Linked DNA regions of Medicago truncatula. The protein of the gene in region 4 interacts with the protein of the main gene of each other region in a pairwise test. Links are inferred from orthologs where the notes say so. Each region holds a gene or a part of one and is shown on either strand. Other genes may lie near its edges.

Region 1 (7,294 bases), on a different chromosome or scaffold from region 4:
GGAAATAATTGGGAAGGTTGTGTCAAGGTGTTGTTTGCAGCTATATGGATAGAAGTGAGGGATCAACTACTTGATTGCCATATTTCGTTAGTAGATATATTTTGGAAATTAAGAACCTGAGAGAGTTATGGTTGTTTGATTTATTTTGGTTCTGATTATTTGGATAGTTAGTCTGAAATAATGTTCAGTCTAAATTGGAGTTTTCACTATGCAGGTTGGTTTGGGAGATTGCAGTAGAGGAGTAATTCTTGTGTGGAGAAAACATGTACCATGGGAAATAATAATTTAATGAAGATATGGAGGGATGGTTGTTTGGGCTCCTGTTTGGTTTCTTAGGGATCAACTACTTGATTGCCATATTTCGTTAGTAGATATATTTTGGAAATTAAGAACCTGAGAGAGTTATGGTTGTTTGATTTATTTTGGTTCTGATTATTTGGATAGTTAGTCTGAAATAATGTTCAGTCTAAATTGGAGTTTTCACTATGCAGGTTGGTTTGGGAGATTGTAGTAGAGGAGTAATTCTTGTGTGGAGAAAACATGTACCATGGGAAATAATAATTTAATGAAGATATGGAGGGATGGTTGTTTGGGCTCCTGTTTGGTTTCTTAAAGTGAAGTACACTGGTTGTGAGAGGTTGATTGCCTCTATTGGCTGGTTGCAGTATAGGTGTTATACTTGGCTTGCAAAATGGTTTAGATGTGAATAGCAACGGATAGAAGGCTGTGAGGCTTGGGATTTTGCAAGATTGCAGAATTTTATCCTTGATACTTAATGTATTCCATAGTTATCAATTATATAGGCTTCGAAGGGGATAGTTCTTCTTTTGCTACTTATTTGTGCCAATTCCTGCACAGTTTGGCAGTGTGGCTTTTAGGTTGTGTTCATGATTGTTTGGTTTGATTGGTGTGTATTTGCACGTATCCTTTTTGTATTGTTTGCTATCTTCCACTTGTGCATGCTGAGTTTTTTTAAAAAATTTAATAAAATACTTAACGCAAACACATGTTGCAGGGAAAACAAAAACGTTGAAATATAGGAAAGATTGTATCATTATTTGGGGTTCATTCGAACAAGGCACTACTAATGTTTCATATGATGGAAATTGGGTTTAGTTACGGATTATATGTGATTAACTGGGGCCATAAACTACAAAAATAAAGGACAAAAAGAAAGGTGAATGGTGTCAAAAAGATACTAAATGCGGTTGCCATAATTACTGTTACTAAACCAAAATGTGGTCCCAAACTCTAAATTAACGCACCACTGGTCCAAATTTTAAGCTATTACGGATTTAACAAGATTCTATTACTGAGAACGGAATTATCAAAATGCAATTTTTTTTTAAGGAAAATAATCAAAATGCAATTAGATTATCAATTTAAAACCAAAAATAAAAGAAAGAAACAGAGCCACTAAGTTCCAAGACTACAACTCAGCTACAGTCTACCGCCACGACTACAACTTCCAAGAATTAAGTTTTTTATTATTTAATTTTAAAAATTAAAAAACAAATTTGTAATATACTACTACCCAAGAAAGAAAAAAAAATGGAAAAAACATGCTTGCAATCTTACATACATGATCCCTAATATATATGCTCAATGTTCTTATAACAATTATCAATATTTTGGTAAATTGGAATAAGTACCTTAAATATTGCTTCAAGTTTTCCTTATATCCTCTTTTCTGAATCTGTTAAGCTCTAACAACAATATTGCAGCAACCTACAAAGAAAAGGAAAAAAAATTATAAAAGACACAGCAAATTCAATGCAACAAACAGAATTGAGCTTCAAACCTATGTTATTGATGATGATAAAAATACCAAAGGTAAATAGAAATACTAAAATATACTCATACTGAATAGGATGTATGGTTTTCTTACCAATTGACTAAGCTAATCTAACGCCTGTTTAGCAAGCACAATAAGCTAGTTTATAGTTGATATTCTTATAATTTTTAAGTTCATATGACTGATAAAAACTCTTTGATAACCTCTTTTTCACCAAATTATAAGTTATTTTTAATAGATTTTTTATAAGCTAATTCAAGTAAATTAAAGCTTATAGCATATCTTTACTTGAATTAGCTTCTAGCATATCGTCCCCGTGAGCATAGCTCAATTGGCAGGACATGCATTGTTATATGCAGGAGCCGGGGTTCGAACCCCATACATCTCATCCAATTATTCATCTTGAAAAAGGTTAATTCTAGGCACCTGACCAAAAAAAAAAAACTTATAGCTTATCTTTTTTTTTTTATCTTGATTGAAAAAATTAAAAATTAGTTGAAAAATATTTTTTTTATAAGTTCATTCAAATTTCAAACACTGATTTTATCAAACAAAACAAATTCAACCAGGTAGTGCTATCACTTATCCGTTAAAAGCTCATCTGGTAACATATCACCATTCCAATATCATTATTACTTTAGCGAAAAAAAAGGCTTATTAGATTTTTATTTCTTAGATTCCAAAGTAACGTAAAGAGCATAATCATCAAAGATCAGCATCTTTTACAAGATTAATTAATAGCACAATAAATAATTCAGATTAAGGATCAAGATACAGGATTAACTAAGTTCAAATCAAAACAATATCCAATTTCTGCGGAGTATACAAAGAAACATTAATAATTAATTAATAAACAAAGTAGAAACTTAGAGAATTGAATAAAAGCTTACGTGAGTGATTTGAATTTCAAGTAGATTAAGTTGATCTGATCGAATCCAAAAGCTGAAACCAAAGAGCTTCTTCAAGTCTTCAACTATAAGAGAATCAATAATTGAATTGAATTTGAAGTGAAAACGCAAGAAGAAGGAAATGAAAAATTTGAAAAACGGAATTCACTGTTACCTCTGTGAGAGTTGAAAAAGAAGATGATGAAGAAAAGAAACTTGGAGAAAGAGAGTTAGGAAGAGGTGTTGAGTTAATGCAAGAGAGACAGATACAGAGACTATAGTTTAAGTTTACAAAATATTAATAATTTGTTTTTGTAAAATAATAATAATGGAATTGAAAAGTGGCTTTGTTTTGTTTGGATTAGAGCGCTCTAAAGAGACGCCAGCACTTTTCATCTTCAAATTTCATGAATGGAATCTTTGGATTGTTTATTCCGATGTTTGCCCCCTCTCTTCTCTATTTATTACCCATAATGCCATTCATTTTACTTGGGCGGGGACATGCCGACGTGTCATCATCCTTATTATTTTGAAATTTCTAGCCACTCCAGATCAATGTAATTTGCATCACATAAAAAAGTCTAACAAATTCTAATTCAACTTATAAATATCAAAATTGCAAAGCCGGACGTCGTAATTTAAGTTTAAACCTAGAACCTCATAGTTGTATATAAGTTTAATTTCAGTCAAACACCTATTATAGTCATAATCATACAACTTTAAAGATAAAGTTACTCTTTTTATTTCATAAACAATACTCCCTCCGTCCTAAATTATAAGCAAAAAAAAACTTATTTTCTTTGTCCTAAATTATAAGCAAAACAAACAACTTTTATCATATTTAATTATCTTTTTTCAAAAAATCATCTTTTCCAAAAGAAAATTAAATGTAAAATGCATTCAATTTGCTCTCTTTTTTATTTTCTCTATAATCAACTACCAATGAAAATTATAATAGTTTAGATTTAGATCCTAGACGTTTATGTACTGAGTTAATTTTTCAACTAGAGTTTCTCTCCTATTCTCCCTAGTCTTTAGACTACAAATTCACCTTTACAAGTTACTCGCCTATATACTACCCCTAGTCCTTTACAAGTTTAGGTATTTAAGTTTTTGAACCAAAAGGAGAATTAATTTCCCTATAATCTGATTTGGTTCTGAAGATAAGTGGGTCGATCGCTTTTGATTCGAGATCGAGAGTCACTTCTTTGGTTCAAGTTTAGTTTTGGACTTTTTTGGTGTTATTTCGATGGACTAGAGGTTGCGCGGTGGTGGAAGCGGATTGATATTTGGAAAAGGAGTTCTTCAGATGTGACTCACTTTTGGTGATGAGGACTGGTTCCTCTTTTACAAGGGTGTTCTTTTGAGGTGAGTAGTGGTGATGAGGGTTATGAATGTCGTTTTTTCAGTGGTCAGTAAGTATATGAGTCAGTTTTAGGGGGTGATGTTTATTTTGGTGGGGGTTGTCCTTATGAGTGTCTTTATTGGGTTTTATTTTTGGGTGTTCCGCCTATATACGACATCTTTAGTTTGTACCTTCTCTTAGAAATCGTGGTTCGCCCTAACACACCCCCCACAAATTCGGCTTGTGAGGTGAGGGTTGCCCCCACTTATCCCCACATTGGGACTCTTAACACACCCCCTCACGACCAGCACTCTTGGGCTTGGTTCATGGACATAAATGGTGGGTGGCTCGATAGCGGAAACCTGATAGCAGGTGGCCCAATGGATCTTGAAGAGGCTCTGATACCATCTTAGAAATCGTGGTTGGGCCTAACACAACCCACAAAACCGGCTTATGAGGTGAGGATTGTCCCCACTTATAAACACATTGTCAGGTCATCACCTATTCGATGTGGAACTTTTAACACCTTCTGTAACATCGGTCTATGTTCGTCTTGTGCAAAAACCTGATTTTTAATAAAAAAAAATTGCTGATTCAAAAAAAAAAATTCCCTAAATATAATATTGTATGTAAAGCTAGTTTCCCTAAAATATCAAACATAATACTAACATTGATATTTTTTCTAGTGAATAATATCATTAATCTATTAGTCTCTCAATAATCTTTTGTACCATATATTATATAGAAATGGAATATGTGGTCTTAAACAAACTTGTCTATTAAAATATTATATTGTTGGTGTTATTAAAAATGATAAGAATTTATATCATATTTGATATTCCCTCTCTTTCAAAATGAGTGTCACTTTAGCAAAAAACATTGTTCAAAATGAATGTCACTTTACATTTCTAATACAACTTTAATTTTTTTTCTTTCAACTTTTCTCTCACACAATTTTCAATCCAACTTTAAATTTGTCTTTTTCTTATAAAGCAAAGACAATTTAATAAAAGTATTATGTCTAATGATTATTTCATTTTATTCATTAATTTTTTATGCAATTGGCTAAAACGACATTTATTTTGAAACGGATGGAGTATATTGTCGGTATCATGAAAAAGATAAGTATATATTATTACTATCATTCAAAAATATAAACACGATTTGTTACAATTCAAAAGTCATAACTCACAAATACCTAACCTTATATCTAAAGCAAATAAATAATTCAAATTAACATATAAGTAATTCAAATACAATCCAAAACTCTATAATTCAAGTACAATTAAACCCAATAGAATCACGGTTCGGAAGTAACAATGTCAATAATAGAATCAAAACAGCAAAATTATTACTTAGGAACAAACAAAAATTGCCAGAAAGGTGCAGAATACGATGCCGCGAAGATCCCCTTTACCATGTTGTGTTTGATCTGTCTCCAGCTACTCCACGTAATCACTAACTGGACCTTTTTCATGCTCATGCTCTCATTGTTCTGTAACGAGGCAGTTTCCTCGTGCCGGCAATTACAAATCACGTGACCAATTATTGTCACCTTTTACAGCTTCATAATGTTTTTGTTTTTGTTTTCGTTAATGTCTTTTCTTTTTGGTCCTTGACATAGTAAGTTTAACTATTGTCAGCGAACACCAACATATGCTCCCTCCTTTCTCAAATGTAACTAATTTTTTACTTTTATTTTCTTAGGTTCATTCAATAAATGATGTACATAATCTATAATATAGACCACATATATTGTTTATTGAATGAACTTAAAAAGTAAAAAGTTGCTTACATTTGAGACCGGAAGAAGCAGATTCAAGCATGTGAATAGAATCCAAGCATGGGAATAAAATTAGTAAATAAATATTAAGGTTGTATTTGGTAACACAAATAAGTTAGCTTATAACTTGTTGGACAAACTTATAACCTTATTTTAATAGCATTCGATGTGTTTGGTAAAAAACTTTTTTTATTAGCTTAATTATAACGTTTTTAAGAAGCTAATGTAAGTAGTTTTTGAGTTTTTAATTTTTAACTTTTTACATTTTCTTTCATTTTTAACCTTTAACATTATTTTATTATTTTTTATAAACAAAAAAAAATTGGCCACGTTAAAAACAAGCTACCCACGTTATTATTCTTGAGACAGTAACCGCTGCACTACCTCAATGCTTTTTTTTTTTTTTTTTTTTAACTTAATTGCACTTTTGGACCCCCCTATCTTTTCAAAAGTTGCGGTTATGGATCCCTAATTAATTTAAATACAAAACAGCCCTCTATGTTTTAATTCTTTGACAGTTTTGGACCCCAAGGCAAAAAAAAAAAAATTGACACGTGGCACCTCACTTAGGGTGCCACGTCAGCGTTGACCGAGTCAACAATGGACTGGGGGTCCAAAATTGCCAAAGAATCAAAACATAGGGGGTTGTTTTGTATTTAAATTAGTTAGGGGTCCATAACTGCAACTTTTAAAAAGATAGGAGTTCAAAAGTGCAATTAAGTCTTTTTTTTTAATTGATTTTATGTTTGAAACGGTTTCTGTTAAATTCCTATTACTTATATAGCATCTTTTTCTTTTTCTTTTCGTATATTTACCATATTAAATAAAACATACAAATATTTTTATTTATTTTTTTCAAAAGTAAAAAATAAAACATACAATTTTACAAAAAAAAATTGAAAGATATAATTATGAAGTTGAGCAAATTTAGTTAAAAAAATATCTCAATGAAGTTTATATTTCATATTTATAATTTTCTAGAGGAAAAATATTTATAATTTAGTTAAAAATGTTTATATATTTTTTTAGGTGAAAAAATGTTTATACATATAACTTATATAAATTAAACATACATGTACTTTTATGTCATTTCATATTTATTAATTACTTAAAAAGCTAGTTTTACAAAACATTTTAATTTTAATAGGTTCTGATACTATTTTAGAAATTATAATTGATCTTAACATAATCCCACAAAACTAGATTGTGAAACGAGGATTGTCATCACTTATGAACACATGTTCAAACCCAATTTTGTCCGAAATGAGACTCTTTTAAGAAGATGATTTTCTGAAACATTAATGTGGGAGGTAATCTAACCTCGAGCTTAAAAAATTGGATGTCTCTCCTGGATTATATTTCCCCACACTGTAATTTTAGCATATATATTTTGATATATTTTAGGAAGGAAAATGCAACACTAGTAACCCTAAAAAAACCAAATATAATAAAAAAAAAAATTAAAACTTGTGTAATTAAATACT
Region 2 (6,951 bases), on a different chromosome or scaffold from region 4:
ATTCCCATACTAACACGGCCATCAGGTTCTACATTGCAGTGGTAAATGCGAGTTCTGAAGACTACCTGCTAGTTCAATTTAACAAGGCAATACACAACAATTAAATTACTTTTACCTCCACATAAATTATTTGTTGTCTGCATATTGCCTTTTTATTTTTTAAACCTATACCAAACTCTTCGAACAGAGAAGTTTATGAAAAGTTGAGAGAAGACATGTTACAGGAAGTTTATAGGCTTTGAAAATAAAGGGACTGTACTTGAACATTTACATAATGGGAAGGTAACAGCAATTTTCTCAGAAGGAAAAAAAAAACAAGCATTTTATACAAATACTGATAGGTACTAACACTATCAATCACAGTAACAGCATCAAATAGTATTGAAAAGATAAAATGGAGAGGGTTTCATTAATCATAGAAAGGAAAAATAGCAAAGGAAGCAAACTTCCTGATACAACTGAGAGCTATGCTCACCGACTCAGAGAATATCACAAATCTCTGCTCCTAACAGAATTCTTTTTCTGACCCCTTCCTCCACTACCCCAATCCCAATACAACAGAAGTGAGTCACGCATCACACCCCTTTTCTGCCAGCTCATCATTCTCTTCTTTCTTTCTATTTTTCCTAACATACACTCTCCATATTTTGGGTACACGGTGTGGATGACTAGACACGTCATCAACACCTAAACTCTCATTTCCAGCTCTATCAAATACAAGTAACCAATTTATTAAATTCTACTTGAAATACAACTTAAAGTTCCCAATGACCCAGTTAGCTCCTTCAAATGACATGAACTTGAACAAAACAGTTAGCCAGTGAACTTTCCCTATATCAAATCAGAAGCAAAAAAATATGTGCATTCAAGCCAGTGAATAACCTTTTTTTTCACTCAATATTAGTTAAATGCATACAAAATGATATATTGTTTATTGCTTCGAAAGTGGGAGAATGGACTCAAATAAGAGGATGTAAGATTCAATAGTTCAAACTTGTTAAACACAATAACAGACCACCCAGTGACTAAATATCTTGTAATATCAGCTACGACACTATCCCTATCTATGTTGTCAATAGCAGGTGATCACACGTGATAATGGAATTGTAGCAGCGCAGCTGCGACACTTACAGCTGGTATGTCACATTGGCATTATACAAGGGTAGCTATTTCGACTGAAAATTGTGTTTGACTGCCACAACAGCCACCTTTGATGCTAAATGCCCCTTTCACCCCCTGATCACTAGATTTATTCGGCTTTTTGGTCATTTTCCCTGAGTATTCTTGGTCAGCAGCTTCGGCCGTTCTGCACCATGCGAAAGTGAAACTCACTTTCTCCTACCTCCGTTTTGTGAAGATCCGAAGACACACTTGCTCCCTTACCTTCTTTGTTTTCTTCCAGAAATGGCTACTAGGTTTTATGGTAGTGGTGACGACTACCGTGTTCTCCTCTGTTCTCTGCTCCTCATTTAATTCTACTGTGTTTCTACTCAACCCTGGTATCATGTCAACCATAAACTTCCCAAAGTGAAGCCTTCCTAAACTACTTTCTAGTCTTCACAATAGAGGCTTTCCCTCTATCTACTATCCCACTTTAGCGGTTTAGGGGTCGACTGCTCCCCACCACTAGGATTAACAACACGGATCCCTTTATGAAAAAGAGAAGGATTACAAAAACAATTTTATGCATTTTCCAAGAATTATGCTTGGTATCCCCATCCATAGAAGGGGTGATACATACCTGTAGAATAGTTCACTTCATTAATCTGGCTTCCCCGAGAAGGATGTTACTCTGGTCTTGCCTTTAAGAATTATGACTTGAGCCCACGAGTAAAACCATCCCAAAAGACTAACCATGAGTTGAGAGAGCATTCTGGCTAACCACCCATGATTACATTCATTCTTGACTCTTTTGGTATAGGTAGCCATTTTCCTGTTAGTTCCTATTTTGCTTACCTATCCTACACGGCAAGCTCTCAATAAAACTATCAAGTGTTTGTATGACTTGAGCTCTAGAGAAGAGTCCATCCCAAAGGACAAGCCTATTGGGTGGGAGAATCCTATGGCTTAAGTATCAATTCATTCTCTAGCTTTACTCAATGTGGTGCACAATATAAGCCTAAGACAAGCCCATCGCCTTACCAAACTAAATGTATATAGAATTACAACTTTTATGTCAATCAGTAACAAGCATTAACTTCAAGGAACTTAACGCATTCATTATATAAAAAGATTTTAATTTTTATACACTGACAGTGTAAAGTTACTTTACACATGCATCCAATAATGTGTTGTTGCGTTAATTAATGAATACGACAACTCATATTTTCAATCACATTATTAGATGCACAAGTAAAATAATTTTATACCGACAACGTATAAAGATTAAATCTATATAAAAATAAAGTTTCATTTCATGCTAACATTCTTCCACCACATGCCAAAGCAAACAGCAATTCTAGAAAAAGAACCAATTAGTACCTGGGGAGGCTTGAAGGGATAGTCAGTAGGAAATATTATGTCAAGGAAGAATATGCCACCTTGGTAAGGTGTTCCTACAAACAAAAAATCAAATTGATGATAAATTCAATCTGAACCCAAACAACCTAAGCTGAATGGTGAAGATGGTGAACCTGGGGTGCCAATAATGGTGGCGATCCAGTGATAGAGATTATCACCCTTGGGACCAGCAGAACAATGAGGAGGAGGGTCGTTGTTGAGTTCAACCATTTCTCTTTGAATTCTCTTTCCAGAAGCAGACACTGAGGTTGTCGGTGCCCATGATGATGTTGAACTTCTTCCTCCTCCACCTGGTATCATCACTTCACCTCCTAAACCCTATTTCCCAATTCAATTTTCGTTTAGCTCATCTATTCTTCTTCAGTAATCAATGTTTTTCTCTCATTAAGAATCAATATCAAACTCATTCAAGTTGTTGTTACTAAGACATTTTTCACCATCAACACTTTCAACAAGAATACACCGGAAGTAGTAATATTTGGGATAAATTCATAACGGTTTTGACAATTTTAAATGTATTTAATTTTTTTTAAGAAAGAGAAATTACGAGTAATATTACAAAATTATTATTTATTAATAGTATTTAAAAGAGAAATTTAAAAATTGAAAGAAGACAGAGTCTTCAATAGTAAATAGTAAGTATTATAGAGAGAGAAAAAAAATCATTAATGTTTTATTGATATTATAAAATAACTTATAGTTTGAGGCATGTTTTTTTATTAAATGACTCGTAATTTTTTTATTGTTTTAGGGTGAAGGATATAAGGTTAATAATACATTTCAAAATAATATGTTTTGTTCTACTTCCATAGGGATTAAAATTGATTCTGAATGTGTAGATTTAATTCTGACATGTTTGATTGTTGTCGAGTAGAATTGATTCTACCACCAGAATTGATTGTACTTGAAGCTATAATTCGTAGTTTTTATTCTAGAATACTTTAAAAACTAATTTATAAATATAAGGAAAAAAAACTCATTTTCTTTGTCCCAAAATATAAGTAAAAAAGACAAACTTTTATCCTATTTAATCTTGTTTTTCTAAAAAATCTCTTTTCCAAGAAAAACTTTTGTTTATTCTCATAAAATTACATTAAATTTTCTCTCTCTTTTATTTTTTCCATAACCAATAGTCAATGAAAATTGTTTTTACATCTTCCTGTAAAACTTTTTTCAAAGAAAACACAAAACTATACTCTAAATTCTTATGTTTTAGTTTTTTGTGATTTTTTTTCTTATAATTTGGGACGGAGGGAGCACACTTTTAGTACATAAAAATTAATCTCACATACTTATGCACTAGCAGTGTAAATTATTAATCCCATGAACTTTTTCGTTAAAAGACCTTGAATATTGGCGTTTCCATTGTGATGGCTTTACCTCCCCAAATTTTATATAACCAACAGATTTGACAACTTATAATCTCAGATTTTTGCAATAGAAATTTCCTCCTTACATATCAAACAGTTTGGAACTAAGGTTATCTAATAAATCTTACAAACCCTTTGATAAAACTCAAGTCTTTCCGCTTCTGCCTCCCTAGATCATCAGGGTTGCAACCATAAGTACCAAGACTCAACTCTCCACATGGGCCTCCCCAGTTCCCTCACCACTACTTCTGCATTCTTGTACTTTGCTCCCACAATGAAGAAGAAATAAGGAAATCCCATGACCTCGTCACCTTTATGTCACAACCAATTCCGCAGCACTAAGTGCCAAAGATTGAAGGAACTTGTTGCCATAACAAAGGATCAAGGGGAAGAACCCCTTCAGGATCCTCCAATTCCTCCGGCATACGCAGTCTCCGCAATACAACGGATTTAACCACCAGATTAACATCTACTGCATCCATTTTGATTCTTGGTATTTTACATTCCAAATCCATAAGTCAAATTCCAGCCAAATAGAAACACTTTTGATGAAAAATTTCCCATAACAAAGCTACTCTAAATGTACCAAAGCTGTTTGTAGTTGTACTAAAAAAATGCGCCAAAGCTGTCCAATTCAAATCAGAGAAAATAACCAAAGAGAACACATGAACAGACCAATGTCATAAAATCATAACAGTAAAGAGACAATAAATAAGAGAACCACGTAAATAAATATTGGCATTCATCTCAAACCAACTACATTAAACCACAGAACCACATAAATGAATGGATAAAACAATAAGAGAGTTGTTAATTTGGCAAAAGGCAAGAAGCGACTAGTTCAGCAGGTTTCATGTGAGGTGAAGTGGTGAACTGCTCAGCAGAAGATCAAACTATATCATTCCTGATGTTACAAGTTCATGTTCACGCAGTTGCGGATGCTAGCTTTGGCCGGTAACAAGCAAGCATGAAAGGTAACATACTCAAGTGCAACTTCTAATCAGCGCTAACCTTCTTCTCAATACTTGAGTTGCTAAGTATTATTACACCAACTATTATGAGTGAGGCACCTGCAAACCACTGTGAAACATTTTTTTGCATCAAAAAATGTGTGAATGAATAAACTGAAAACATAAAAGGCAAATAACCAACCACAGATTCTTTAGACTTTGTTTGAGCCCTAATTTTATTTTTCCCTTAGAACCAACCAATAGTTTTTCTGATTTTTAGTACAGCAAAACTATAAATTGGATCCTCTCTCTCATATGTACCCGTAATAGCAAATCATGATACTTGGTTTATCTCGATCCCACATTAAGCAGTTGGAACACACGTTACATGTAACGTAATGGATAAATAAACTGAGTGTGATATAAAAACAGAATTAAGGGTCATAATCATGAAATTGGTACCATTTCAATTTTTAGTTACAAATAGGGTAATTAATATGTAAAGATTGAAATTGAAAGGAAAAAAAAAATAAAAAAAATAGTAACTACCTGGAAAGAGAGATGTTCATGAAAGAAGAAGAAACCGGCTAAACCAGAAGAGATAAAATTGGTAGCGAAATTGGTGACAGTAGCTTGAAGAGAAGAGAGAGCTTTGAGACTGTTGACATAACAACACCACATGGTTACATTGAAGAATACCACGAACCCGTACTTAATCAAGATGTGAAAGGTGAACTTAGCGAAGATGGCTGCAAGAGCGGCGTTCAATCCAGCAGATACTGCCCACGCATACCCTTTCCTTCCATTTGACGATCCTCCTCCCTCCATCTTCCTGATCACAATCGCTAACTATTTCACCCTTCCTATTTAGCTGTTGTCAACAACTATAAAACTTTCAAGATTGTTTTTTTTTGGTACAAAGATTACTTTAATTTTATTTTAAATAAAATAATTAACTTTTTTTTGGTTTGTAATAAAATAATTAACTTGTATATCAATCTAAAATTATTTTAAAAAGAAATTAAATGAACAAAAGAAATCAAAATGATATATTGAACAGAGAGTCATCTTTCAGGTACAAGCACAAGGTGTATCACAAAAGACACTCACAAGATACAAACCAACTTTCAACAACAATGAAATAAAGGAAAGTTGTTTGACACTCTCCACAAGTTGCATATGAGAACCCTGAGTGCCTCGGAAAATTCTAGCATTCCTTCCAAATTACCCAAGTTGTAGCAAACCAAATCAAATGCATGAAAGAGCGTCTAGATTTACCGTACCCTGTAGAGAAGTCGAAGAATGAAGTGATCCAAAATATGGGATGGATCCGCTGAGTGAACACAAAGCAGTTCCTAACAAGCTGCCAAAGATATCCGAAAAAAGCACAAGATGCGATTAAATGGCATTCGAATTCATGAAGACCGCAACCACTAACACAATATCGAGCCTCTACGGAATAGATTCGATTTTGAAGGCAATCGATTGCGAAACAAACGCCAAGTGAACACTGAAACCTTCAAAGGCACATCCTTCCTCCATAAAAGCCTCAGCAGTATCTGGTAATTGATATGCGTCGTATCTGTGAGCAAGCGGTAAGCACCACTAGCCGTGTAACCATTGGCTATGTCAGGGGTCCACCTCCAAGCATCAGCAGAATCAACCTGCAGCATAGCTGTTAACAATAAAAGTCTACACTCTTCTAACAGCTCCTCCTCCTACACCCAAAACTTCCTCCGCCACTTCCAAGCTTCCCCCACCCACATCCCACCCCCAATGAAACATTTATGCCACAGTAGATAATTTATTTTCAGATAAATCGTATAAGCTATGAAATGTCTCACAAAGTGGGACATCACTCATCCACCTATCCAACCAAAACAAGGTGATATTATATATTTATGTAGTTCTTTTAACCAAAAAATACATATTTATGTAGTTCTTTTAATTTTTTTAAAATATCAAAGTATAGACTTAATCTTACCCTTTTTTTATAAAACTCAACACTCGCAAACACCTCTAAGGCACAATAAAGGTAGAAACTAGAAACTTTAACTTTATATTGAAAATTGTACATTTCATTTCTTAAAAAGTTAAAAATTGTTTCTTGA
Region 3 (7,459 bases), on a different chromosome or scaffold from region 4:
GATTCCAAACGACTCTTTAGACGTGCAAATCATCTCAATGTCTCTTTCACACCTCTATATAAAGGAGTGAAGACTTGAAGATTGTAGATAGAGATATACAAGTTAAAAAGCGCCAAAACTCTATCAATTTGATTCTACAAAGCACACTGAATTTCTGCACTGATTTGATACATCTTAGAAATTCAAAAGTCTAGAGTCTTTAACGTATTGTATTGTGAACACCACTGATTGTATATCAAGTGTTCAAGTCAAACTTATTTCATAGTATTTTTGTTTGATTAGAAGCCTCTTGCCTGCGTGCTTGAGCATTAGAAGACTCTTGCTTAGTACTTGAGCATTGGAAGACTCTTGCGTGTGTGCTTGAGCATTTTTGAGAAGTCTCATACTTAGAGAGTATTGAGCATTTGTAATCTTTGTGATTATAGTGAAATCTCCTTGGAAGTGCAAGGGGGACTGGACTACTTCCGATTTGTGGAAGGAACCAGGATAACTGCTTGTGTCTTGCTTTTCTTTTCTCTGCTTTGATCTTTTCCGCTGCATATCTGATTCTGATCATTTCATCAGAAGCATTCACAAACTGCTTCTGAAGTTTTATCAGAAGAAGTATTTTTTAAGAGAGAAAAAGAAAACACAATTCAAACCCCCCCCCCCCCCCCCCCCCCCCTTCTTGTGTTTTTATCACCTTCATCGGTGTACTTTTTTTTAATGAATGTTTCAGTTTTACTTAATATGGTTCTTAAGAATACCTTCAGACACAATTTTCAAAACGAGACCGGTCGTCGACTCGATAAAGTCACTAGACCACTCGATTGTTGGTTCAACTACTAGATCATTGGTTGAACCGTATGACTACCGGATTAAACCGGATAACTGGAATGTATAATCCGGTCTCTATAAAAAAGGTGTATTTCTATTAAACCGAGTTAGATCAATCTCAAAAGGGTGGAGAAAGGGTGGAGACGTACGCTGGGGAAAGGGTGGAGTTATATCTGGAGTATAAAAAATATTCAATCGATTATGGGGGAACATGAGGAATTATTATTGAAATTCAATGCCAGCACAACTTTATCTATATTGATTCGTTTTACTTTAAATCAAACCACTTCAATACTTTTATAAACAACATGATTAAAAAATATGTCAATACAAACTTAAATTAACTAAGAACGGTTTGTGTGGATCCATATTTTATTTGTTTCATAAACCCGAGATACTTACTTACCACTGTGTTGGAGAAATTACCAGGTTTACTACTTTGTCATTTCCCCATATCCCAATAGTGGTATAAGAGTCTTGTTCGATGAAGGGTTTCACCGACTCTTTGTTGGATGAAAAAAGTTGTTGCTTAAGGGAGAGCATAATGAATGCAATGGCTCACACCTGAGGGGAAAAGTGAGGGTTAAATAATATATAAGTGAGATGATCAATAAATCCAAATACCTTAAGATTTTAAATTAAGATATATTATCTAACTCACTTGTATGTTTCCTCTTAATCTAATGGTGGATGATCTTTCAGACTCACTTCATGTCCCAACATTTAAGAAGGTTACTTCTATATCAATTTTAGCATTACAGGAATTCCTATCCAATTATTGGATATTAGGTGGTTATTGGAGCTGGCATTTACATCATTTGCATACATCATCCAATGACTAGAGATGAAACATGGTTTTCTTAACTTTATTAACCTCGTAATATAACTTTGGTGTCTTACAAAAGAATAGAGGAATATGATGACATCTTTATACCCATACTTTTGTCTCTTTCTTTTGTTTCATTTCCTATAGCTAGTTGTTCATAGTTATTCTGCTAATCATATTCAATTCAATGTATCAACCTAATTTGTTCTTTTTTTTTTTTTTCGTTTGTAATGTCTTGCCAAAGCTGATTCTAACTGTTTTAGATCTTATCCAATCCAATTCTTCTAATGGACAAGTAGTGATTTTTTTTTTTAATAATATGATTTTTGAATCGTGCATTTCGAGGATTTTTTTTACAGATGCATTACAACATATAAAATATGAATATTTTATTTTGAGCGTGAATTGCATTAAAATAAACATTTTTAGACAACTGTCGGTATGTTTGTGTATGGTAATATTCATAGGATACATAGTTTTTTATAAAAGAAAAAAAGTTTGACATAAAATAAATATGAGATGATAAAATTTATAATGTAGAGGATGTACTTTTATTAATTGCTATTGGAGCTAGAGAATGTGTCGGCAAATGTTGACTTTGAGTAATGTGCAGGCAAAATGTCTACTCCATGGCTTAGAGGGTACAAAAATTGGCACCATTTAGATGAGTTTATTTAAGTTTTATTTTTTATATAAAATAAAAAAAATTCATTAAAGTAGACACAGATGAATTTAATTAAGTTGCAGGTGAGTTTGAAGATTCTTCTCATATATGTTTAACAAATGCTTATAGCATAAGATAAGATTTTTATTAGGTAAGAAGAAAACCTGGATATTAAACTACAAGGTGAAGGTATATAATATAGTTATCTTATTATCACTTAAAATAGTTTAGTGTGGCCTTTATTAAACTGCCACGACTCACAAGTCTTTTTTAAAAAATTATTAAAATGGGCCAGTTTATGTAACAACAAAAATACCTATAATAAACAATGCTGCTTTTGGGGTTTTCAAAACTTTGATAATAGTTATTTTTGTGAATTATTTGTGCTGAAACAAAAAGAAAGACAAACAGTGATCATAAACCTTTGGTACAAATAAGTCCAACAATTTCGAAGTTGGTAGCCATCCAGCAAGGTAGAACACGATTTCAACCAATAGGACATGAACGTTTTTTTGTTTTTGTTTTATTGTTTTTTTAAATTGTCACTTCAAACAAGGTAAATCATATGCTTGATTTATATTTAGTTTATCGAATAATGAATAATCTAATTGACCATTTCACACACAAAAATTTACAAGTTTAAGAGATATACTTTTACTAAATTACTCTTATCTAAAACCAAATTTGCCGCCATCGTGTAGCTTAAATCACGGGTGGTGTGACGAGGGTCTCTTTCCTCAGCACCACCACTCCTTTCCGACATGAGGTTGCTCTCTTTCCTTTGGTGGCAGTAAATCCGGAGGTTTAACCCTCTTTCGTCGCCTTTCCTTTTGGCCCGTCGTCATTTACAGGGACGTGGAGGTTTTCTCTGTCTCAAATTCGTTTGGCAGGGTGGTTTGTGGTTCTCTTTGATTTGAGGCAGATTTGGTCATTGCAATCAGATTCTCTCATTTTTTCAAACTTTTTCAACCCGCACCAGTGGTGTAGGAGCGCGCTTCTGTCAACGTTAATTAACGTTGGTTCGTATGTTGCTTTTTTTATTTCGTTTGGTTGGACCGCTGGTGTTGTTTTGTGGTTGTTGACATTTGTGTGGTTTTCGTGGGTATAAGAACGTTTGGTATGTGTTGTTGCTTTCGTTCTTGATCAGAGACCGGATGTTATAGACTTGTGGCCTATTTTTTTTATGTGATTTGGTTTCAAAAAACCGAAAGGGTCTGGTTCTGTCAAACCTGTAAGAGTCTGGTTACTAACGTATCGTACACATCTCTCGATCCGAGTTCTTATGCGTCTATCTGAAACCGGCAGTGTTTGGTGGCTGGACTTCATTGACACTCTCTGATATTTCTAGATCTGTTGATATCTGCAGGTTTAAAGTCGTCTTGTTGGTGCTTGAATTTTGATATGGAGTTGGTGGTCCATCCATTCGCCGAACTTAAACCTTAAATGTACTTTGCAAATATTCAATTTTCATATTATTTGTAACCTGATTTTGCGCTTGTGCGGGTTTGCTGAGTTTCTCTTGTACGCGGGTTTGTTGAGTTGCTCTTGTGGTTAGTAAATTTTTGTTAGGATAGGTTATGGTTGATCACTATGTCTAATTTATATTTTTGTATCCCCGTTTAGATTGTACCTAAGTTAGGTCTAATGTCCCTCCCGTCTCCATATCTCTTTCTTTTTTAATTTAATTCTCCTTTTTTACTATTAAAGAACTATACTCGTATTTTTGCTATAGAAAAATATAGTCGCATTTATCATTACCTTAAAAATAAAAGTAAAATACATACTATTTTTAAAATGATACAAATAGTATTAATTAGATATTACATTTAAAATAATTAATTAATATTGCGTTCAAAACCAAAAGAGTGGTTCACACAGTATATAAGACAAAGGGAGTATACATTTATTTGTGCATGAGATGTCAGCTTAGTATAATAACTAATAAGAGCTTGGGTTTGTAACAATAATAAATATTGTTCAAACTCTATGCTTGAAAAATGATTATTTTTATTCTTTAAAATAAATGATTATTTTTATTTATTGTCCTTTCAATTAATAATAATAACTTTTTCATTCTCAGTTTTTTATTTAAAATAATATATTTATTTTTGTTTCAACTCATTTCTGGAATAAGTTATGCAAATATATTGCACAATCATAAGTATTTATTCCATTATATATACCAATATGCTTGTGCACTGTTTATAACCCAAATATCCTATCTCCTTTCTCTACCTATATTTGATCTCTCTATAGTTCTTACCCGTTTTTTGGGAACTTAAGCTTTCAATTAAACCTATTTAAACTGAAATTTCTTCAGAAAAGAGAAGAAGAAAAAAAACCAAAATGGGATTCCAGCTAGCAGAAAAAGTACAAAAATCAAAATACAGAAAGGGATTATGGTCACCTGAAGAAGATAACAAGCTTAGTAATTATATAATGAAGCATGGTCATAGCTGCTGGAGCTCTGTCCCCATTAAAGCAGGTGCGTTTCTTTTTATTTTTTCTTAAATTTATAACTCCTTATCAATTATATTTGTAGCATGTTCCTCATATCTTCAATGAATTCATAACTTCATTTGTTTTCTTCAAGTGAAGTTTCTCTTCATTTTACTTGATAAAATGTTCCTAGAATTTATTTGACCTCAAATTAATAAGTCATCAAACATAAGGTATGCTTCACTTAAGTTGGTACATTGAATAATTAAAAAAATATATATTTTGATGAATCGGGGTAATTTACGTCTATGAAAAAAAAAATAACATTTTCTTCATTTTTATTCTTAGAATCAGTTATCATTTTCATCTCAATAACATTATACTTCTTCTTCATCTTCCTTCAACATGTGATCTTCCCCTCATTCGTTCCATAATCGAATCCTACTTGTCTTTAAGGGTAAATTACCTTCAATTCATCAAAGGAAAATGTAAGCCTCATCCATAGTGCTTTTTCTTACAATCAGTACCATTTTCATGTAGAGAACATCAAACTTCCTCATCTCTTTCATTCAACATGTCATCTTTATCTTCTTCAGTTCAGAATAAAATCTTACTTATCATTAAAGGTAAAATATCACCAATTCATCGAGAGGTAATGTAGGTTATCAATTTTTATGCCAATTACAAACATGCTACAAAAAATTGATTGTGATTAACCTACCATCATTTATTACAAATGTGATAGAATTTGGTGTGTTTGTATTTATTTTAATTGATGCTACTAATAGTTCTACATTTGATAAGATAAGATAAGATCTAAAAATATGATTATATAGATAGTTAAGTTATAACCAATACATCTTCTGAGAGTGTATGAGAAGAGCTCCTATTTATAAACACATTTTCAGACTATTTTAGTCCAATATTAAGACTCTTAACCGATGTTGAGGTGCTGACATAGTACATTGAAAATCCAGGCTTGCAAAGGAATGGAAAGAGTTGCAGACTAAGGTGGATTAACTACCTGAGGCCTGGATTAAAGAGAGGTATGCTCAGCAAACATGAGGAAGATAAAATCATGACCCTTCACCAAATGTTAGGCAACAAGTAAGGATGAACAACCTCACTTTTACTTTTATAAAATTTTAATGCTATAAAATTATTCTAGAAGTTATTTGAAGTAAAAGTATTAATTTTATAATTTTATTTATGAAATAGTTATTATGCATTGTCCCTTGTTATTGTTATTATTATTAATGATTATAATAATTATAATTGTGACTACAATTTAATATTTAAGCCAAGGGGTTGTTAGTGTAAGTAGTGCAAATGATGCAAGTTAAAGAAAATACTTTTGTCTCGTTTAATTGTTTTGATGGTTTTACATTAAATAATGTAATTGGATGTATGCCAGCTAATTCCTACCATAAATTAATAAATGGAAAAAATTGATAGGAGTCAAACCATGACTTAGCATTCCCATTTTTTTAACATAATATACAAAGAAAAGACATATGGTCTAATATTCCTTAATTTCTTAAATCAAATCAAGTACAGCTCAATATATTTTTTTTAAACTTTTCCATCACATACAATGATTAATTTACAGTCAATTAAATATTATACATTTCAATATACTTCCCAATTCTTTTTTGTCAAAACAAAAAAATATATACTTCCCTATTCTTTCTTCATAATCATAATTTTGTTACGAAATGAATTTTTTAAGACTCGTCAAAGGTGAGCTTACACCCTAAAGTTTATATGATGTAATATGATTTCATCTTTGTTTTAAATGGAAGTACACAAAATTTGATGGTAAAATTGCTCTTTTATTTTTTTTATTTGTGTGTAAACTTGATAACATAAAATCACAGGTCAGTTCCCAAATTTGGAATAGAAAGTCAACACTACTTTTACAATCAATTTGTTGAGAGTTGAAAATGTGCTATTTTTGGGTGACACTTTTAACATGCTACATGTTTGACATCTTTATTTAATTTCTTTCAACTCTTCAAAAACAAAGAAAAAAAAGAATAACGACTAGTATTATATTACCAAAAAATAAAATAAAATAAAATAAAATAACAACTAGTTTGTTTTAATATAAACGTGGATAATTTGTATAAAAGTAAATGAAGAAATACCAACTATCTTTATATAATTGTAGAAAAATCTGGTCAATGTATATTATGTGAATAATACGCATAATTAAATTAGAACGTAATTTTAGACTTATCAAAACAACTTAACTTGTATTGGTCAGGTGGTCTCAGATTGCACAACAATTGCCGGGAAGGACCGACAACGAGATTAAAAATTATTGGCATTCATATCTGAAAAAGAAAGAAGTCAAAAGTAAGGATATTGAATCTCATACTCAAATTCAATATGCTAGTTCAAGCTCAGATACAATGAACTCCTTACTCTCAACTCAAAAATATGCAATTCAAGATCCAAAATATGTGTTACCAGAAAACATTAACAAATCAACAGCTACAACACACTCTGATCAATCTATTTCAAAGAATTATAACACTGCCAATGAAGTTTGTCACAGTTCATTACCAAAACTTTTATTTTCTGAGTGGCTTTCACTAGATCAAGTAAATGGTTGCAACTCTCTAAATTCAGATGATTCTTTGGTCTTGAAAAATGGCTATGATCAAAATTTAATTTTTCAAGAAAATGTTATTCAAATGCCAGAAGGGCAG
Region 4 (7,655 bases):
GGCAATCCTTTTTTTTTTCTTTCTCAAATGCTTTTTATCTCTTATTACCGTCTTATCATAGAATCCCATAAAATTAAATTAAATAATACAAACATGTGATTAAAAAACACATTATCCCTCGGCTCTAACTTATCTGTTGCAGGTGTTTGGTGGTCTTGACGAAATGAGAATTCTTTTTGTTTCTCAAATGCTTTTATCTTTTATTACCGTCTTATCATGGAAGCTCGTAATATAACTCTTATCTTTATCTCTTGCATTTCTAGTTCTCTACGAGACAAGAACATAGACGGATCAAATGGAATTCCTTCAATTCCTCTTGCACCATTCTTAATGTTGATTGCATCATGTCTTGGCAACCGTGTCAAAGTTGGATTTTATGGTTTGCTTCATCATCCTTCCGTGATATGGATCTCTAGTTTCTCGGGATTTCTTTCAGAAATTTAATATTCTTCATGCTTAGCTCCATGCTATTCATCAAAGACTTTGTTGACTAAGCAATTGGATTACCATGACATTATTTGTTTCATTGATTCTCTTCATTCCATCGATATACTCCATGATCAAACGCCAAGGCTTCACAAGTATACTAAGATCTTCTTCACTAATATATATTGACATGTTTGCATCACTCATATTCTCTAAGAAAATAGTTGTGTAAACATCCTTAACTTGAAGCTTCTTCTAGCATTGATCTTATGGTCCATCTCTTCCATCCAACCGGCATCTCAGACCTCCTCTTTACAGACTCTATGGAAACTTAGTTATGTAGAGCTAAATTTCTCTCTTTTTTTTTTCTTTTTTTTCTTTTTCTTTCTACTTCTTTCTCTTTAGCTTTGTAACAAAAAAACATTAAATTAGAATTTTAAAAAAAGAACTAAAAAACCTAATCCAAGTACACCTAACGTAAGCATAAACATCAGACAAGAAATTGCCCATTATACACACATTTTTACGGAGTCATCTTAGAATTTTCACAAAGCTAACCACCTATTTCAGATCCATTGCATTTACTATTTTTTTAGGGACATCCATTGCATTTACTCGATTCTTTTGAAAACTTTTGAGTTTTCTCACCCTTTTCCCTTTTTCTATAGTACTAGGTAAATCTTATTTTGTCAACATCAAATGAAAAATATTTAAACATACACAAATGAAAAAATAATAATAAATAAATAATATGACTAATACTTTTATTATTTGTATGTGTGTTTAAATATCTTTTATTTATACTTGTTAAAAAAATATTTATACTTGTGATCAAATACTCCATCCGTTTTAAAATATAAGAAATTTTACATACATCGTTAATTGAATGAACTTAAAAAATAAAATTTATTTATATTTTACATCGTTAATTGAATGAATCTAAAAAGTAAAATTTACTTATATTTTAAAACGGAGGAAGTAAGATTTGCTCCAAGTAGAATACTCCCAAACTAAAAAGTTGACATTTAAGTGGAAAGCAGAATCAACAACTTGGTCAAAGTCAAAGCATTATTTAATTGATCCCAGTGAAAGGGAAATGCTACAGTTTCATGGAAAGTGGCTCCACTCATGTCTCAAAGACTCATATCAATGGAGTTATGACAAACCACAAAAATTGTTTGGAACAAATGCTATCAATGAGCAATGTGATAGTGGGTTTAAGAAATTAATCTTTAAGTTTTTTATGGTCCTGATTTTGTGTTCAAAGGCGGATTTGGGCATAGAAATTGTTTGCTTTTGCTGTGTGTGTTTATATATATATATATATATATATATATATATATATATATATATATATATATATATATATATATATATTATTTTATTAATTTTATTATTTACTTAACTTTTATTTAATTTTAATCTCTTGTTTAAAAAAAAAATAAAATTTTAATCTCTATTTTACAAATTTTGTATAAAAAAATTGTGTTTTTACCCCCTTTACCCAATAGGTAATAAACAATGTAGTCTCTATGAAAGCTACATGGAGACTAAAATTCATTTTAAACTTATATCATAACTAATTTGAGAAACTTGATTTCACTTCCTTTAAAAAAGAGAAACTTGATATCATTCGAATTTTTATTTATAAAATTCACTTTAATGATAAACATATATAGATATCAGTACAATAGTAATATAATATTAAGTGATGATTGTTTTCTTTCTTTATGAATGTGAAATTTTTATTTTATTTTTATAAAAACATTAGACATCAAAACTAAAATTTTATTTTAACAAAACTCAATATGAAGACCTGAAGCTGACTTTTCTTTTCCATTTTGTGTTGGAAATGATATTTAAAAACAGTGTAATATTTACTGTAATGTGAAAATCAAATTATATTGTGAAAATCTTTAAGCCATTTCATTTGAAATTTATATATTTTACATCACTTTTTTAGAGGACCCGCTCTTTTTTTAAAGGCACCATGTGAAAAATCATACTCCTGTCCACGCTATACAATTAAGTAAAAAACAAGTAAATTGAATATAATATTTTTTATGTATTTTTTTGTCAAAATATTTTTTTATCTATTAGAGAGGGTTTTTGTTTTAGTCATTTTTAAGTATAGTAAAGAATATAAATGAAGAGAGACATTTTTTAACACAAATAACTTACATTTATAAATGAAAAAAAAAATTATGGGCCCTCTTATCCACCGAAGTAAGAATATAAATGAAGAGAGACATTTTTTAACACAAATAACTTACATTTTATAAATGAAAAAACCATCTCCTGTCAAAAAAAAAATTATAAATGAAAAAAAAAAACATTTATGGGCCCTCTTATCCACCGAAGTGTTCCCTTAACAGCCCAGTTTCTGCATGTAGCCTTCGCTCGTATGAAAATTGCTTTTAAACACCTTGGATTACTCACAAACACCTAAAACTTTCAAAAATATCATCACTAGGAGTTACGAACCGTTCACCTGTGAACGGTAGCCAGGGATTGTTCGAGATTTTGTCAATGGTAGTTAGGAACCGTTTTCAATATACCTTTGCAGGTAAATTATGTTATGCCTGGATGAAGTTATTGATATGCTTAAAATAGCTCATGAAATATGCTTTTTAAGCATTCCCATCAACACAATCGTCAATCACCATCACTTTTAAAAACATAACCGATCTTCTGATTATAATCACCGTACAAATTCGATATCATAAGATTAAAATTGAAATTCAATGTTATGATTTACAATTGCTATGTTCTAATCGTAATTTTCAATAGAAGTATTTTCGAAAGTTTAAAGTCATTACAAACAATCTAAGGTGCGTATTTTTCCCTCGAATAGAATGAGAGAAAAACCAAACAAGCTATCAACCTTAGGAAAAACCCAATCACATTGTCGAAGAGATACTCCTCTTATCTTAGATAACATCATCTTTGGGGACATATTAAATTGGTACGGTCGGAGTGAGGTAAACAACTAGCATCACTTATGTATGTGGTCACAAGTGTTTTTTTATGTTAAAAAAAAAGTGTTCTTATGTTGTAAATTTTTAGTAGTTACACCTTTTATTTTGTAATTTATTTTAAAGTTGTAATTATTTTATATTATTGTTTTTACTAAAATTTTTTAGACACGTTTCTTTTGTTCGGATTATTTTATGGTTTGCAACAGTTGAAGCAGCAAGTCTACATTGTAGGTATGGAGGTTAGAAAGACACAATCACTATTTTCCTTATACTCTATTTTGTTTTATTGAGAGTCAATTTACTTGTGCTAATATTTCTCTTTGATTTACTACTTAATGATAATTATATTTCATTTTTTCAACATGTGGTACTCCATATGGTACGAAATCTGTATATGAGACATGTATCAATATATTCATCAATTTGTTATGCATGAGAAAACACATGGTTGAATTTAAAAAATGGATATCAACATGGAAGCCGTTAAGTGCAATGACATAAGCTAAGGTAATTTGGTGGGGAAATTCTTAAGAGTTAAGAACGTGTTTGTTTAAATGAAAGCATGAGAGATTCCAATGGTGGATGGGATAAGAGGTAGAAGAACCATACTTCTCATTCATCGCTTCCCATATTTATTCCTATCTAATCAAACAACCCATTCTGGTTTCAAATTTCCTTCTATGAACACATGATTACCTTAAGTAGAAACTCAATAATTTTAGATTAGTAAGAATGCAATGTAAGTAGATATGTATTATAGGAGACGATCTCATTTTAGATTACCTTAAGGAGAGGATCTTGACCTGTATTCTAGAGAGTATTGCACTTCGCATCTTGATGATGTAAAATCTTCTCATTGACCAAATTTCTTTGTTAGATTCATACCACAGTCCACACATACATATCTAAAAGTGCTTGCTCAACATTCTATTGTCATGCATTATACCATGTGAAGTTATGTATGTTCATCTACTCCTATACAATAATGACAACCAGATGTCATTCCAAAACATGAATTAAATCACGTCATCACGTAAACTTAGCTCAGTTGATAAAGACAATATATACTATATATAATGTAAGAGGTTTTAACCCCGACCACCACAAAATACACTAACTTCTATTGATTAATTTTTACTTACATTTTAGGACGGAGAGAAGACATATTTTCTCCATCATTAATTAACAATAATTCATAAGAGGCCAGCATTTTGTGATGTAGCTTATAGCATCAAATCAATCACGTGGAAATATCTCACCCTCACAAACATCACATTCCTGGACCCACTTTCTTCCACTCTAAACCCGCTTCTCTTCAAATCACCACCACACGCATCAAAACCATTTCATCTCAAAAACCTCACATCACACCATGGAAGAACACTCCGTCGGACCACTCGTTCCCGCCGTCGTCAAACCCGAACCATCCAAAAACCTCTCCACCACCGTAACCGTCACCGGCGACATCGCCGGTGGAGACAATTTCCCGATCGCAACTATGACGGAATTAGATAAAGACTTTCTATGTCCGATTTGTATGCAGATTATCAAAGACGCGTTTCTTACATCTTGTGGTCATAGCTTTTGTTACATGTGCATTATTACTCATCTTCGGAATAAAAGTGATTGTCCTTGCTGTGGTCATTACCTTACCAATAGTAATTTGTTTCCCAATTTCTTACTCGATAAGGTTCGCAATCGTAATCACAATCGCAATTCGTGTTCATGTGTTCTTCGCTATGAATTTAGTAACTGCTAGTGTTTAATTGATAATTTGCGTTTTGAATTGTGATGTTTCGGTTTTGGAATTGCGTTTAGATTAAGATTTAGAAACTACTTGAGGCTTGTTTGGATTGACTTATTTGAGCTTATCTAATGACATAAACACTTGTGAGACTGCTTGGAAAAACTTTTGAAACAGTTTACTACACGTTCATAAGCTGTTTTCAGTTTATTTTTGTAAGTTTTCCAATATAGCAAATGAAAACAGCTTATAGCTTATGTGAAAATAATTTAACCTTATTTTATTTTTTGTTGCAGAAATAACTTATACATATGCACTTATTATGATAATCACTTATACTATAAGCTACAAGTTAAGTTGTTTTCCAAACATATGAATGAATTCGGTTTCACAATGCTTGTTGTTTAATTGCTAGAGATTAATTGATATTTTGCATTTTGAATTGTGATATTTCGGTTTTGGAATTGTGTTTGAGATTAGATTTATGCCTGTTTGGATTGACTTATCTGAGCTTCTCTACTGGTATTAGTTTTATGAGAATGTTTTGGAGAACTTATAAAAACAACTTTCTGACAATTTTCATAAGCTTTTTTCGGCTTATTTTAGTAAGTTCTCCATATAGCTTATGGAAATAGCATATAGAAAAACAATTTAACTTTATTTTATCTTTTGCTAATGTAAGCTTATACATAAGCAGTTATAATGATAAGTGCTTGTGCTATAAGTTGCAAATAAACTGTTTACCCAAATAGAGCCTAACACCCAGGAAATTGCTTGTTTTATGAATGAATTCGGTTTCTAGCTCATTGTTAACGGTTTCTGTACCAATTTGTAGCTACTAAAAAAGACGTCGGATCGTCAAATATCGAAGACTGCTTCCCCCGTGGAGCATTTCCGGCAGGCGATACAAAAGGTTGGTTGTACTCTTGCTACCTGTATTGGTTTGCAGTTTGTTTTGTGGTGACTTATACCTTTGTTGTTGTTGATCTTGTTTTACTTAATAATTCATTTTTGCTTCTAGTTTTATTTCAAACAATGAATATTTCGTTTTGAGTACAATGTGGAATACATGACCTATGTAACATCTGCATTTCGGAGTCCAGTGTATGACACATGTCTGTATCCAACACTGATACAACATGTATGTGGTTACACTGTATCAATTCCATTTTTCAAATTATTACCGGCGTCTATGTGTCGGTATCATTGTCGTATCCGGTATCCGTGTTAGTGCTTCACTGTACTTGACATGATATGTATGGGTTTAACAGGGGTGGTTAAACAAAACTGGATTAACTTTTAACTGTCGTAATTCCTTTGTTTACCATACTAATTGTACAACAGTGAGAGGTTTTTGTTGCAATAGTAGGCTGTTTTTCTTCTTCTGTTTTTTGATAAAGCAATAGCAGGCCGTTGATCGCGCAGTTCACGTTCCACTAAATTATGAATATAATTCTACAAGAAGTTTTGATGTTCCAGAAAAGATAACGAAAGAGAATGATACTAATAGTTCCCCTGTTCTCGGCCTCTAATCTAAAGTTTAAGGGAGGAATGCTGTATTGCCTGCAGTGCCAGTTTCTTGTAAGAGGAAATATAATCTGATTCATTAATTTACGTCATTCATTTGTTGAGATGATTAAATAAAGGCTTAATAGCAGTTTTAGACCCTTAACTTTTCCAAAGTTGCAATTTTGGCCCCCTAAGAAAAAAAAACTACAAAACCACCCCCTAAGTTTTGCATCTGTGGCAGTTTTGGCCCCCAAGACCAATTTGACTCGGTCTACACTGACGTGGCACTCTAAGTGAGGTGCCACATGTTATTTTTATTTTTATTACAAAAAATTGGCTTTGGGGGGCCAAAACTGCTACAGTTGCAAAACTTAGGGGGCGGTTTTGCAGTTTTTTTTCTTAGGGGACCAAAATCGCAACTTTGAGAAAGTTAGGGGGCTAAAACTGCTATTAAGCCTTAATTAAAACAGTAGGCGTTAGATCAAAGTAGATGGTTAAGAATAATACTATTTTAAATTGCAAGTCACTGTTTCCCATGCTACTTTTTTCTCCTCCTCTCCTGCCTTTTCTATCAACCGACCGTCCGTGCCAATAAATAGGAAAACAATTTATTTTGAAGCCTAATGTGAGAGGAGAACAAGGGCCATCATTCTCTGTTCTAATGGAAAAGTGCACCTCATAAACAATAATACCACAATTTGCATCATTTTTCCTTTACCCTCTTTCATGTTTGACAGAGACAGTACAGAACCAAACCTAAAGGAAAAAAATTAAAAACAAAAAAACAAAAAAAAACAATGTATAGTGGATTTTGTTATGGGGCGAGTGGTGAGTTCTTGGTGGCTGTGCTCGTGATTGTGAATCTGGTTGGGTTATTGGAGCAGAGTCGTGGGTCTACTATAGTCTATAGCCTTGATTTGTGAATGTAACCAGACCCACCTTCACCCAACCACAATAAGTAGAACACCAGTGCAAGACCCACCATTTTGACAACTCCG

What was found.
Region 1: the proteins of E3 ubiquitin-protein ligase COP1 (region 4) and COP1-interactive protein 1 interact in binary tests that used the Arabidopsis thaliana proteins (3 or more experiments, as listed by UniProt). The link is inferred for Medicago truncatula from reciprocal best matches to the Arabidopsis thaliana genes COP1 and CIP1.
Region 2: the proteins of E3 ubiquitin-protein ligase COP1 (region 4) and constitutive photomorphogenesis protein 10 interact in binary tests that used the Arabidopsis thaliana proteins (3 or more experiments, as listed by UniProt). The link is inferred for Medicago truncatula from reciprocal best matches to the Arabidopsis thaliana genes COP1 and FUS9.
Region 3: the proteins of E3 ubiquitin-protein ligase COP1 (region 4) and transcription factor LAF1 interact in binary tests that used the Arabidopsis thaliana proteins (3 or more experiments, as listed by UniProt). The link is inferred for Medicago truncatula from reciprocal best matches to the Arabidopsis thaliana genes COP1 and LAF1.

The regions. Positions count from the first base shown.
Region 1 is NC_053049.1:45,925,531-45,932,824, reverse strand, and holds the start of COP1-interactive protein 1, read right to left. Parts: upstream 3,021-7,294; 5' UTR 2,858-3,020; intron 2,769-2,857; 5' UTR 2,686-2,768; intron 1,729-2,685; 5' UTR 1,653-1,728; intron 1-1,652. UniProt on the Arabidopsis thaliana protein: Positive regulator of abscisic acid (ABA)-mediated signaling pathways involved in abiotic stress responses (e.g. osmotic stress) and leading to various plant adaptation (e.g. stomata closure).
Region 2 is NC_053049.1:39,599,825-39,606,775, forward strand, and holds the start of constitutive photomorphogenesis protein 10, read right to left. Parts: upstream 3,011-6,951; 5' UTR 2,821-3,010; coding exon 2,634-2,820; intron 2,556-2,633; coding exon 2,482-2,555; intron 66-2,481; coding exon 1-65. Other genes in the region: uncharacterized protein, read right to left, coding at 4,887-4,970, 5,390-5,668. UniProt on the Arabidopsis thaliana protein: Component of light signal transduction machinery. Involved in repression of photomorphogenesis in darkness by participating in the CDD complex, a complex probably required to regulate the activity of ubiquitin conjugating enzymes (E2s).
Region 3 is NC_053047.1:21,466,522-21,473,980, forward strand, and holds the start of transcription factor LAF1, read left to right. Parts: upstream 1-4,446; 5' UTR 4,447-4,652; coding exon 4,653-4,791; intron 4,792-5,241; exon of another isoform or gene 5,242-5,319; coding exon of another isoform or gene 5,320-5,371; intron 5,372-5,722; coding exon 5,723-5,852; intron 5,853-7,011; coding exon 7,012-7,459. UniProt on the Arabidopsis thaliana protein: Transcription factor that promotes photomorphogenesis in the light by participating in the transmission of phytochrome A (phyA) signals to downstream responses. Probably acts by activating expression of light-induced genes.
Region 4 is NC_053046.1:37,990,065-37,997,719, forward strand, and holds the start of E3 ubiquitin-protein ligase COP1, read left to right. Parts: upstream 1-4,652; 5' UTR 4,653-4,776; coding exon 4,777-5,094; intron 5,095-5,983; coding exon 5,984-6,061; intron 6,062-7,655. UniProt on the Arabidopsis thaliana protein: E3 ubiquitin-protein ligase that acts as a repressor of photomorphogenesis and as an activator of etiolation in darkness.